Linked DNA regions of Caenorhabditis elegans. The protein of the gene in region 1 interacts with the protein of each later gene in a pairwise test. Each region holds a gene or a part of one and is shown on either strand. Other genes may lie near its edges.

Region 1 (7,123 bases):
TTTTGCATCTGGAGACAGTAATACTCTGAAACCAAAAGGGTTACTTTTCGCGAAAATCGTTTTCAGGTTACTCACTCGTCACAAAAATCGGCATCCTGTGTGCCTCGTTCCTTTCTTCCGAAACTTGTTAGAAATCCCGAATAATAAACATTCGGAGACATTGCCGCTAGTTGTCCACAATTATATCCCATATCCACGTCGACTTGTTTCAGAAGCTGTGGGCTCACATCACATGGAATTATAGATTCCAGTATAAGCATTCGACTGAGAATGTCTGAAGGAAGATTCAGATTATCCACGAGACGAGCGGACATCTGGAAGGGAGTGAAAAAAGTGATTACATGTTTTCTTGTTGATATCTTTTTTCATGATTGATTTTTCGTTTTTGAAAATTCTAAAAAGGGTAAAATGAGTCGTACGTGCGAGGACCCACAGTCTTAATTTTGAGTAAACACATTATTTTTTCATGAAAAGTAACATTTTAACTTTGGGAATTCTTTGTCACGAACACTTTCAAAGCTTTGCGGAGCCATGCTGCTTGCCAATTTGAGTGATTGATGAAAGATCGTACAAGTTCGCATGATTTCGTAGAGCGGAAAACGCTGGAAAAAAGCATATTCACGCAGGACTAGATTCGAGAAAACGCACTAGAAATGGCTCGGCGTAATCGACAATCGTCGGCTTCACCACCTCTCCTTGTTTCATTCGTTCCGGCTGACTTTGACGGATCAGGCGGATAGATCGACGAGAAATTCGAAAACGGTCTTCTCGAATCCACCTGAAATTGTGAACGTTCTATAGAAGTTTCAGATGATATTTGTCACCTAACAACGTCAGATGTTAGAATAGTCTGATAGCCTGAAGACATCAACGCCGAATGGAGGATTGCGACAAGCATTTCTAAATTTAAAATCAGTTGACTCGCGCGACGTAATGCTTCTTTAGAAAGTGCCGTCGTCACTTTTCGGACAAATCCCATTGTAGTATCGTTCACACGGATTGATTCATCTGGATTCTGTGTGGTTTCTAACGTTAAGTCATCAAGTTGCTGCCCTCCTTGAGCATCTTGATCTCCGTCTTCATCAGAAGCTATGTCCAAGTGTTCAGTGATATTACCCTGGGTTAAAAGGGTCCATGCTGCTGCAGACTTGCTCAAAGCATTTACTCCTTTTCCACGCTTCGCCATTCTTTTTCGTTGCTTTTCTTCTCGCTCTTCTTGTTCGTATCGAAGATTTTCCATGACTGCTACAAATCGAAGATGCTCGTCATTGCCGCATTGTTCAGAATGGCAAAATGCTACTTGACAGTGCGCCAGGTATTTTTGAAAAGTGGCGAGAATATTTTCCTGAACCCGTGATTCGAAATTGAGCTCGTGGACCAGAATGTGTCCGGATTTCGCGAGAATTTGAGTGAAAGAGAACAGTCGGAGTGCCAGCCGGTATAAGTAGTCGGGTGTCGCGTCATGTGGTAGCTCGAGTCTGAAACATTTTTATATAAATGACTGTGAACTTCAAACTGCACTGCAAAGGTTAAATTACCCACTCTTCTCCTTTAATTGCCTGTTGTTGCAAGAAATCGCTTCGTTTTTCGAGAGCTTCCCGCATCACTTGTGCTTTTGGAAGATTTACTGGTGCTGCATTATTTCGAACTCGTTTTTGATCATCATTTTTTCGAACTTTCACTTTTCCTTGTCCAACGGTCTGTTGTAATCCTCCTTCTTCTTCCTCAAGCTCTTCAAAATTCTGAAATGCTTTTAAGATGAATCGAGATTTATTAAATTTGTTTTAATATACCTCAAATAAAGCGCCACATCTATCGCAATATTTGAATCCGTCATTAACGGAAAATCGGTAACCGCCACAGGCATTGCATTTTTCATTTTTTGCTGAGTGCATGTGTTTGATAATGAAAATAATGAAAATAAATATTCTTGCTGTTTTCCGAGAGGTGTGGAAGTACGCTCTGTCTGCAAGGGAGAGTAGAGAGCCTAGACGCAGACACGGGAGAACATTTTGAATTCCGACATAAAATTTGTCTCTCGCATATTTTTAAAACGCCATAGTTTTTTCTTAAAAAATGCTGCCATCGACTTCAAAATCTGTAGAAGTAAATGAAAATTCGGAAGAACCGATTGAACTGGAAGAGAATGTAATAGTAGTCACCGGCGACGAAATTCAAGCAGAAATCGCAGTTGTCGACGGAGAGGAAGTGATCTTTGCGGTAATCAATTTGTTCTTTTTTTGTTTGAAACATCAAGTCTTTTTCAGGATGATGACGAATATATAGAGTACGACCCGTTGAGTATAGCCAATGATCGGAATGCTGTGTATGACGTAAGATTCTATACGGAAACGAATCAGGCAAAAATTAAAAGAATTTCAGATATACCAACCACACGAGTCTGAAAATGGAACATTCATGTGTAAAATTTGCATGCGAACTGGAAAAAACACGGAATACGAGGACAGATCGACGTTTGTAGCTCATCGATACAAATGCCATGGAAGTTTTAATGTGAGTGGCGGCGGCGGCGGCGGATTTTTTGATTTAATCAATTAATAAAATTTGTGAAATTTCCAGAACAACGTAATGTGTCCCCTTGGAGACTGCCGGGAAGTTTTCGCTTCTTTGTACACCCTTCGACGCCATCTTAGCCAGCAGCATGAGCTTCCGATAGAAATTCACTTGCAATCTTTTGTGAATATCGGAGAGTTCGAGAAGTTTCGACATTTGGTCGAACTTGCATCGGGATGTAGATTCATGATGCACACAAAACAACCGAAATATCGCAGACAGGTTATGCACTGCTCGAAGAGTGAGCACAAATTGGTGTTACAAACACAGAAGTGAGTTTGGAAAAAATCGGCTGTGATAGAAAAAGATCACTGAACTACGTAGGAGGTGTGACAGTATTCAAGACTATCTAGGAATTCGAGGCCATTCAGGAGTTGCGCAAGTTTATTTAGGAGCTTCACTTTACGTAAGACGCAACCAAATCTACTCAGGACGTAAGAAACAGTACGCACGATTTTTCCCAGGGAATCAGAGAATTTCGCTGTTTTTTCTCTTTTCGAACAAAAAACTCCCGCGGAAAGTCACATTCCACAATTTTTGAAGTTTTTTGGAACTGGCCTAAAATGTAATTAAATCGAGGAATAAACATCTAATAAAGGACCAAATATCAATTAAGGAGTGATAATTGAATAAAAATTAAGTTCCAACCGCTGCGACTCTGATAAGTTGCCAAAATTTGAGACTTTAGCAAAAAATAGTATATTTTCCAAAACTTTAAGCGGCCGTAACTTAAAAAAAACATTTTCAGAGCGTCTCATTGCGAAATTTGATAATTTTGGACCATTTTGGCTCTAAAAAAGCAGTCTCAGATTTCGGTACTCCACCTTTAAATGAGTAACGAATTTTTTAGTTCTTGTTCTAGTTATAGGCCCAAAACGGAATTTCAGACAACTTTCGAGCCAGTTTCAAACTAAAACTATTTCGGTACTCCACCTATAATGTCTCTTCTTCCAGACACCGACTCCCACGTGAAAGAATGTTGAAAGAAGGATCAGCGTGCCCCTCAGTCATCTCATACCGTGTCGAATCCTCCAGCGGTGAAGTACATACGTTCATGCAGCTCTATCACATCGGTCATGCTCCTGACACAGAATCTCAGAATAGCAATGCAGATAATGCTAGACCAATGGATATAGTGTTCCCCATTAAACCAGCATGTTGGGCTAATCATCCAATGCAATATGTTCAAATCGATGTTCATGAGATGCCAACTTCAATTTATGGAAACAAAATATACGACAACATTCTCATCGTCACTTGTCTGAAAACACGATTTTTGTGGGCGAAACCACTTTTCGAGTGCACAAGAACAGCGATCGGACGAATTTTGAACTCGATTTTTAATGAATACGGTGTTCCGGAGGGATTTTCAACATCATTCTCGCCGACATACATCCGGGATACAATAAAATCATTGGAAAGTGTGTATGCTGTGGAAATTCGAGAAGTTTGGAATGAACCGCTTCCGTATAATTGTCTAGAACGATGGGTTCTGGAACTAGCTCAAAATGAGCTTGGAACACGAAACCGATGGGTAGAACAATTGCAATTTCTCGTAATGGAATATAATCAGAAACCGATTCCTGATCGAATGGAGACGCCATTCGAACGAATGTTCAATAGAAAAGCTCCTAATTTATATCATAATGGAGATAATCAAGAAATCATTCACGACAAGTATATTTCTTATCATTCAGAATTGAGAAATGAAGAGGAAGGTGTTGAGAATCGATTGAACACTAGTTTTGAACCTGGAAGAAAAGTCTTTGTAAGTAATTCGAAAATTTATATTTCGAAGAACGGAACATTTTGTAAATTAAAAATTCAGATTTCTCAACAAAAAAATCATAAAAAACCGAACATTTTCTGATCTTTCATATTTCGTCTTTGGCGAAGCAAAAAGCGAGAAATTAATACAAAAAAAGGAAAATCGGCACAATCTCTACAGTAGCTATTTAAAGAGGTACTGTAGTTTTCGCTGCGAGTTATTTTGCGCGTCAAATATGTTGCGTGATACGCATTCACAGAATTTCGAGTTCCCGTAATACATATAGCATATTTTATATCAAAATATGTTTTTTTTCTCCTAAAGAAACATATTTATTTCAGTTACGCAAAGGAATCACAAAACCAAGACGTGGAAACAACACACAATATTATTTCGGTTACATTGGAGAAGTCGATCCATCAAACCCATACTATCCGTTCAAAGTTCACTACACAAGCTCCGATTCTCCATGGCCATCAGAAAGTTTGTTAGATTTGATAATTACAAATTTTGTTTCTCAAATATTTTCAGGAAACATCTACGCATGGGTCAGCGTGTTCGATCTTCTTCCAACAATTCATGAAATCAGCGAAATGTCAATGACTTCCAAGAAAGTATCAATTGCTGGACTATTATGCTCATGTATGGGCATTGAATCATCACAAAAATATGATCTAACTGCTATGGGAGATATAGCTCGAGAATCGTCGAGATGCTTGTTATTCAGAAATTGTTTATGTACAAACCAAATGTCTCGATTTTGTTGTAAACTTGTTGGAAGAGAGCACTGCAGATTTCATTCGGTATATCCGGAAAACGACGAGTCTTACGCGAAAATGGACGCAGCGCTCTCATCGTTTATTGCGTATAACAAAGATTCCAGTAAGGAAGCTGAGAAGGATTTACAGGTGAGTGTTACGCATCATTTTGCAATTTGCAAAAATCAAAGAAACAGCCGAATTAAATTTAATTTCCCGCGCAAACGAGTGACGTCATTTTCTACATTTTCACGTTTTCTGGCTAAATTTAATGGTTTTTCTTGATTTGTCTTCTATATTTGATTTAAAACACCATCTGTCAATTTTTCAAACAAATTTCAAAAAAAAAATAAATATTTAATTGCCGCTTTTAGGTCAATTTCTATCGGGTTATCAAGTTTTCTTCACGGAAAAAAGTTTGAAAGTTGAAAACAGAGTTTCAATCAAATATAGAAGAAACAATCTGGGGAAACGGGCAATTTTAGCCAGAAAGCGCTGAAATGTAGAAAATGACTTAATTTATTAGAGCGGGAATTCAAATTCAAACATTGTTTTTTAAGTTTTACAGTTATATTCGTTTAATAGGGTCTATTTTCTGTCATTTGAGACGAAAAATGTTGTCTCTACTTCACCTTTAATACATATGTTCCATTGATAGTGTGTCTAGAGTCTCGGCTCAAAAACTATCCACTACTAAAAAACTTTGAAACTTTTTTTGGAATCTAAAAATATGTATTTTCTGCAGGATTCTACCCCAATAGAACAAATATTAAATGAAGTTGGACGACGGCGCCTTGAAAGTGAAATAACTGTCGAAGATCCAGAAGATCTGGCTCCACCAATTCTAGAGCCAATGGAACCAACAGAAAGACATTTGGATACAGAGGAGGAGGAAGAGGAACCAAATCAAATTCCAATGGCCTCCGAGCATATTGATATTGAGGGAGTCGACGAAGAGGAAATTATGGAACATTCGGTCAATGCAATTTCAGAGGAAATCCTCTTCGAGTATGCTGATGATAAACGAGATGATGGTCCTTCCACGCCGAAACGTGGCAGGAGAAGAAAGTCGCCATCAGAATCGGCGGGAAAAAAGAAGAAACTATCGAATAATGATGAATTCGTGGAATCTACAGTCTCTAGGCGATCATCAGCGAGAAGAACTATCAGACCAAAAAATCTAGATGACTATGTTGAATAACTTGAAATTACTTTAATTCCTTTTTTATTTAAAACTCATAAATACTTTGAATATAGACATTTAAATTCCAACAAAAGTGTGATAATCTACGTCCAAAAATGATGAGGGTTGATAACAAGTTTTTGATTTTTTGATGTATGCTCCGTGCTCTCTTCGAAGCGGTGTGTAGGGTTTTCCGGTTTGTCTCTCCTCAAATGATCATAAACTTTTCAATTTTATGACTGTTTGACTGAAACAGTCGGTTTTAAATTTGTATACGTATATTCCAATAAGAAATGACGTTAAATGGATGTGGTGTGCGCCAAGAGGTTGGTTTTTAACATTTTCTGGCAATGACTTCTGATTGAAATTCTGTATTACTCGAATGAGGACCTTTGAAATAGGTTCCAATAAAACATTTAGATGTAGTTGAATAGTGCATTTTTTATGCAATATTTAATGATTTTACGGGTGTCTAGTTCAATGCGGCAATCGGAAGCTTTTTTTAAAACATCCATTTAAAGTAAATCAAAATTTTGGACCGATTCTACAAGCTCCGAACGTGGTGAGAAAATGCACTGCAAAATTCAACAAGTTTTTTCCATCTCAAAGCTCTCTACACACTGCAGCAAAATGTTTTGTATGAACTTATTTGGAGGTATTCATTCAAATGAAACAGGTTTCACTAAAACACTGTGCCTTTTTTCCACTTTTCGACTTTAAAGACAAATGCACAGAATTTCATGAGATTTGAAAAAATGAAAATCAATCGTATCATCAGATCATCCTACGATCTCTCTCAATACTTCATCTCATTCTTGTGATTAGTAATATATTTGTGTT
Region 2 (4,928 bases), 6.3 Mb from region 1:
ATTTTACCATACGCTTCGAATTCTCGTCTCAACTTGCTTTCAGACGTTTCATAGTTCTGAAAATATAAACTAAAACACATTCTAACATTTAAAAAAACGTGCAATTCGTCCAACGAATAGAGTGCGATATGGATCCTCCGAAGCTCTTGGATTCTCAGCTGGATTCCACGTGGCGATTCCTTGTTCTACTTTATATGCTAACAATTCATCTTTTTGTCGTCTTTTTTCTTCTTTTGCTTCAGCTTTTGTTACTACTGGGATTTTTGCTGGAGTATCTTTCGGATCCTGAAAAAAAAATAGCTTCCAAAATAATAAAGTTACGTTCAAACCTCAAATAATTGAATATATTGAGCAACTCCAGTCATCGGAGCCCTTTTAGCATTTTTGTCCACTAGTAGGTCCTGGCATGGTGGAAGATATTGCACTGGTGGTCGTGCTTCGAAAAGCGCCAGAAGATTGGGAGGTAGAAATGCCGTCATGTCACCTGAAAATAATTTTTATTTATTATTTGAGTTTTGTAGGTACAAAGATTATCGAATAGAAGAGAGAAAATAGTATGGAATGGGAAGATGAAGAACAAAACAAAAGAAGAAAAAAAGTTGAAAAAATGTCTGAAAAAGAAAATAAAAAAGCGATCCTCGGTTTCAGATAGCTGTTCCACGTTCCAAATCGTCTTTGATATCTTCTGTGTACTTTCCATAGTACTTGTCCAGTTTCTTATTGAATTTCTTGTTTTTCTCATTGATGTAATCAATTGGCGCGTCAGGATCATAAAGTCTACGACGATGATATTGTTCTCGTCTTTTAACTTGGCCGTGAACATCTTTAGTGAGCTTATCCATTGCAGCAGTTGTCGGATAGTGATTTCCTGAAAACTCTTTGGTTTTTCTTTGAAATTATGAGTTTTGCTCCTTACCATGAATAAGTGTGTCAGCAGTTGGGTAAAACTGTTCCCCTCCAACGCATTCTCTCATCTTTTTGTAAGAATCAAGATCTGGATCAAGAGCAGCAGTCAGGCGAGTATGTTGACGAAGAGTCATATCTTCGTAAGAAGTAAATCCTTGATCTGGGTTCTTCTTTCTCTTTCTTTTTTGCTCAAGCTTCTCAGTAACATCTGCAGACATCTCTAAACTGCGAACACGTTCATAGTCCAATCCCTTGTCTTCTGCAGCTTTTCGATCTTGTAGCTCTTTAACCTGCCATTGATCTCTTTCCTTTTTTGCTTCGTGGTTTTTTGGAAGTTTGCTGCGACGATCTTCTTCAACGACCTACAATTTTAAATTATAATTGAAAATGTAAACGTTAAAACACTAACCTGTTCGTGATTCTCTTTTCTCGCTCTTTGGCGGAGTTTGTGAAGATCACGGAACCTCTGATTGAAATCCTTCATTTTTGATCCACTGGACGACGGCCCACTGCTGCTCGATTGTGATTCGGAAGACATCTAGGAAAAAGTGTTGAAGAGAAATCCAGAAAGTTGAGAAGAAAAGCTACATTGAAACGGAATACAGAATATTTTGAACATCAGAAAAAGAAGAACCGATATGATTTGAATTCATTTACAATCTATATTTTTTAAACCGATAGTTACATGTTCAAAACATATTAATACTATCCAGCTTTGCGAAACAAAGAAGGCTTTCTTAGAAATAAGCATGGTACTATCGATAAGGAGTTCAAAAATGGAAATAAAAACTTTATTTTCTAGTTGAAAATGCTGAGAATCGAGTCAAAATTGCGAAAATTAATCTGGGCGAGTAGTTCAACACAGCGCACTTGCACAATTTTCTTTTCTCTCCGCTGCGTAGCGGTCGCGTCGCGGTCGTCTAGTCTTGCGCTCGTCACACCGAACGCGTCAATATGTGACGTTTCGGGCCTTTTCTGCTCACTCTGGCGGTAATTTAAACATATTAAAAATATATTTTAATTCAAAAATATTTATAATAGACCATTTAAAAGTACTCAACATTATTCCAATTGTTCGTTCTTGTTGTTTTGGGCACTTTGAGTTTTTTCTTAAAATTTTAATTTAAATTTCAGCTGATGATGTTAATGAACAGTACTGAGATAGTTGACGACAACATGGTAGTCGAAGGATATGAGGAAATTGCAGTGGATGACGATATGAATGATATGAGAGTGAGTGTGCTTGAATCATTAATTTTCTTTATTCAAATTTAAGGAAATGGTTGCAAATGATGAAGATGACAGTATTCACTATGAAGCCCATGATGGAAGCGAATATGGTGGAATGCCAATTGACCAATATCAAGATATTGTTATGTTCAAAACGTAAAAAAAATTTTTCCTGAGTAATATAAATTTAAAGCATTATTCCAGAACGGACCAAGTTCCTGCAAGTGTCTCCTCTCGTCTTGATCGTAGTGCGCCGAGTCATTGGAGAGCTCGTTGTAAATGTTTTTCAATGGCGGACGATAGGGAAACTCTTTTGTATTACAATCCCGAGAAGTCTGCGAATACTATTCCAAAAGTAGTAGTGAAGAAAGGAGAAGTTCAAAAAGTCCTTGAGAGAATTCACGAACTTATTGGTCATCTTGGGCAGAAAAGAACGTAAGTAAAACTACTATAATAATAGCTGACAATTGTTACTTATAGGCAGATGGTCGTGCTTCGGAAACTCTACTGGCGGTCGGTTCGACAAGATGTTAAAACATTTATTGCCTCTTGTGATTTTTGTACAGCAAAGAAAATACAAGGCAGAAAAATAACAAAAGCACCTGTGGATATTACCTCTGAGCATTTTGATATTTCCGTGCTTGTTAGAGATTCTTCCAGCGGAAATGATCGATTTGAGTTTCAATTGGTGGGATACAATGAGGATGAAGTTCGCGAAGCATCATTTACAAGGATGACATCATATACATTCAAAGAAACTGAGCATGCATTCAGAAGCAGATACAGTAACCATCAGCAGACTGGGGTACGTTAAGAATCTGAGATTCTCTACAACTCTAAGCAAAAATCGTTTTAAATTTACTTTAATTATTGCCAAATTCACAATATTTGCATTTTCAAATTTTTAAAAAATATTTTGCAGCCGCCAACGTTCCGTCGACAACCATATGTGAAGAAACACAAAAATCAATCAGTTGGATATCTTCTTCCATTTCACCAAAGATCTCGTGCCACAGAACCCGAGTTTATCGAAGTTTTTGGGCGCGACATGTTCACTCATCATCCTGATATGATGTATGAAACAGTTCCAGAAATGGACGATGGAATGATGAGATCAAGAGAAGAAGTTAAAAGAAAAGATGAAGAACTGCCCAATGCACATCCAGTAACTGTTGGCGGAGCAGTACTGAACTCGAATAATTTCAAAACGGAAGATGAGGTAAGAAATGAATGAGTCAAGTGTTCTTATTGAATTCCGATCAAAACAAATTATTTTCAGGGAAATCTTGCTGTCTCTTCTCGTTCTCAAGAATCGACGTCTTCAGCATCACCACAAAAAATGAACCATGAACAGCAAAGATATAGTCAAAAACGTCATTTGGAGATGAGAACTGGAAGAACGACGAGAGATATGAGAGATTATGAGTCATCTGGACGACAATTATCACCAACTCCAACGACTACAGCTGGACTTTTGAAAAAGAGAAGGCGAGAGTTGCCAAGTATTCGAGGAATGGCAAATCGTTTCAGTCTGGCAATCGGCGACTCGGATAGAATAGGTAGGTTTTTAAATTTCAGTCTTATTTTGAATGTTGGAAATTTTTAGATAACACCGAAGTAAATCGCTCAAATCCACATCTGATCGAGTACCCTGATCCTTCGTCTATTCTTCGTGGTGATAATGCAGGATTGCCTCCCGTTATTATGGCGCCATCCACCAATGATGAAGTATGCAAACTGCAGATCGAGGTATTTCGCATGAAAACCAAAATTGAAATTATAATAAGACACGTTTCAGGCACTCCAACGTCATATTCATCTACAAAAAATGCAAGAAAAACTACTCCATGAACAGTATGAAGCTTCCATGCGAATTCCAATCACCCGATACATCGAACAAGAAGAGGAAGTTCAGGAAGAACAACTCGAAGTTGAGCATCATCATGTCATGGAAAATCATCACCAAGTGTACGAGGAAGTAGAGGAAGAAGTGGTTCCGCAAAATCCCCGTCGGCACATTCGTCACCAGTAGAAGCTTACATGTTTCTTTATTGTTTGACAATATCTTAATAACTAAACTCACATACGATCTTTTTCCTTAATTATATCTGAAATTTTGTGACAGTTTTGTAATGAATCCTAAAAAGATTAAAACATGAAGTCATCCTTATCACAGAAGTTCAACTCAAAAAAGGATGTTATCTTTCTAAAAGTTTTAAAGGAATTTATTTCATTCATTACTGCTGTGAACAGGATCGTCTCGTTGATATTAGCATTACGTGAACTTTTCCTCAACACATCAATATGAAATCGATGCGTAAAAAATTGAACTTAATGTTTTTTTGAATTATTCCTAACTCGTATCGAGCTAGTCTACACTATTCTCTAACAAAAACTTCTGTTTGGACTTGGCTTTGCTTTATTTTCGTTAAGGATACTCAATTTCGACAACACGAGAGATACAACGGTACTAGTTTGAAAACTTGAAGATTTGTTTCACTTACTGGCAAGGCAAGCTATTATGTATACAAAAGGGTTAGTCTGATTGTTTAAAAAGGTTTTTCTATCAAAGAAAGTGAAAAGAAAAGATTTGAAACAAAAATTCGATAAAACAGATCGAATTATATTGGAGTTACGGTTCACAAACCGTACCCCTGTGCATTTTATCGTGAACGTGTTTACGGACCACTTTTGCCGCCAATAATTTTCAGACACTTTTTTTGCAAAAACAATTCATTTTCGTCTTAATTTGACGGTTTTTCTTTATTTTCGGCTTCCGTTTTTGAGTTTTC

Evidence for each region.
Region 2: the proteins of ztf-18 (region 1) and K04G7.1 interact in a two-hybrid assay, tested with the Caenorhabditis elegans proteins (one large-scale study listed by BioGRID).

The regions. Positions count from the first base shown.
Region 1 is NC_003281.10:890,558-897,680, reverse strand, and holds ztf-18 (C2H2-type domain-containing protein), read left to right. Parts: upstream 1-2,022; 5' UTR 2,023-2,076; coding exon 2,077-2,220; intron 2,221-2,267; coding exon 2,268-2,333; intron 2,334-2,382; coding exon 2,383-2,514; intron 2,515-2,580; coding exon 2,581-2,846; intron 2,847-3,528; coding exon 3,529-4,342; intron 4,343-4,683; coding exon 4,684-4,825; intron 4,826-4,873; coding exon 4,874-5,250; intron 5,251-5,845; coding exon 5,846-6,301; 3' UTR 6,302-6,355; downstream 6,356-7,123. Other genes in the region: F23H11.2 (TATA box-binding protein-associated factor RNA polymerase I subunit B), read right to left, coding at 1-25, 76-314, 510-602, 649-778, 825-1,478, 1,543-1,742, 1,794-1,895; T24C4.10 (uncharacterized protein), read left to right, coding at 6,577-6,609, 7,062-7,123.
Region 2 is NC_003281.10:7,160,672-7,165,599, forward strand, and holds K04G7.1 (Integrase zinc-binding domain-containing protein), read left to right. Parts: upstream 1-2,040; 5' UTR 2,041-2,082; coding exon 2,083-2,139; intron 2,140-2,182; coding exon 2,183-2,292; intron 2,293-2,340; coding exon 2,341-2,571; intron 2,572-2,616; coding exon 2,617-2,941; intron 2,942-3,058; coding exon 3,059-3,355; intron 3,356-3,415; coding exon 3,416-3,695; intron 3,696-3,742; coding exon 3,743-3,885; intron 3,886-3,934; coding exon 3,935-4,168; 3' UTR 4,169-4,289; downstream 4,290-4,928. Other genes in the region: rnp-7 (U1 small nuclear ribonucleoprotein 70 kDa), read right to left, coding at 1-56, 103-285, 330-479; Pre-mRNA-splicing factor syf-2, read right to left, coding at 645-868, 917-1,268, 1,316-1,444.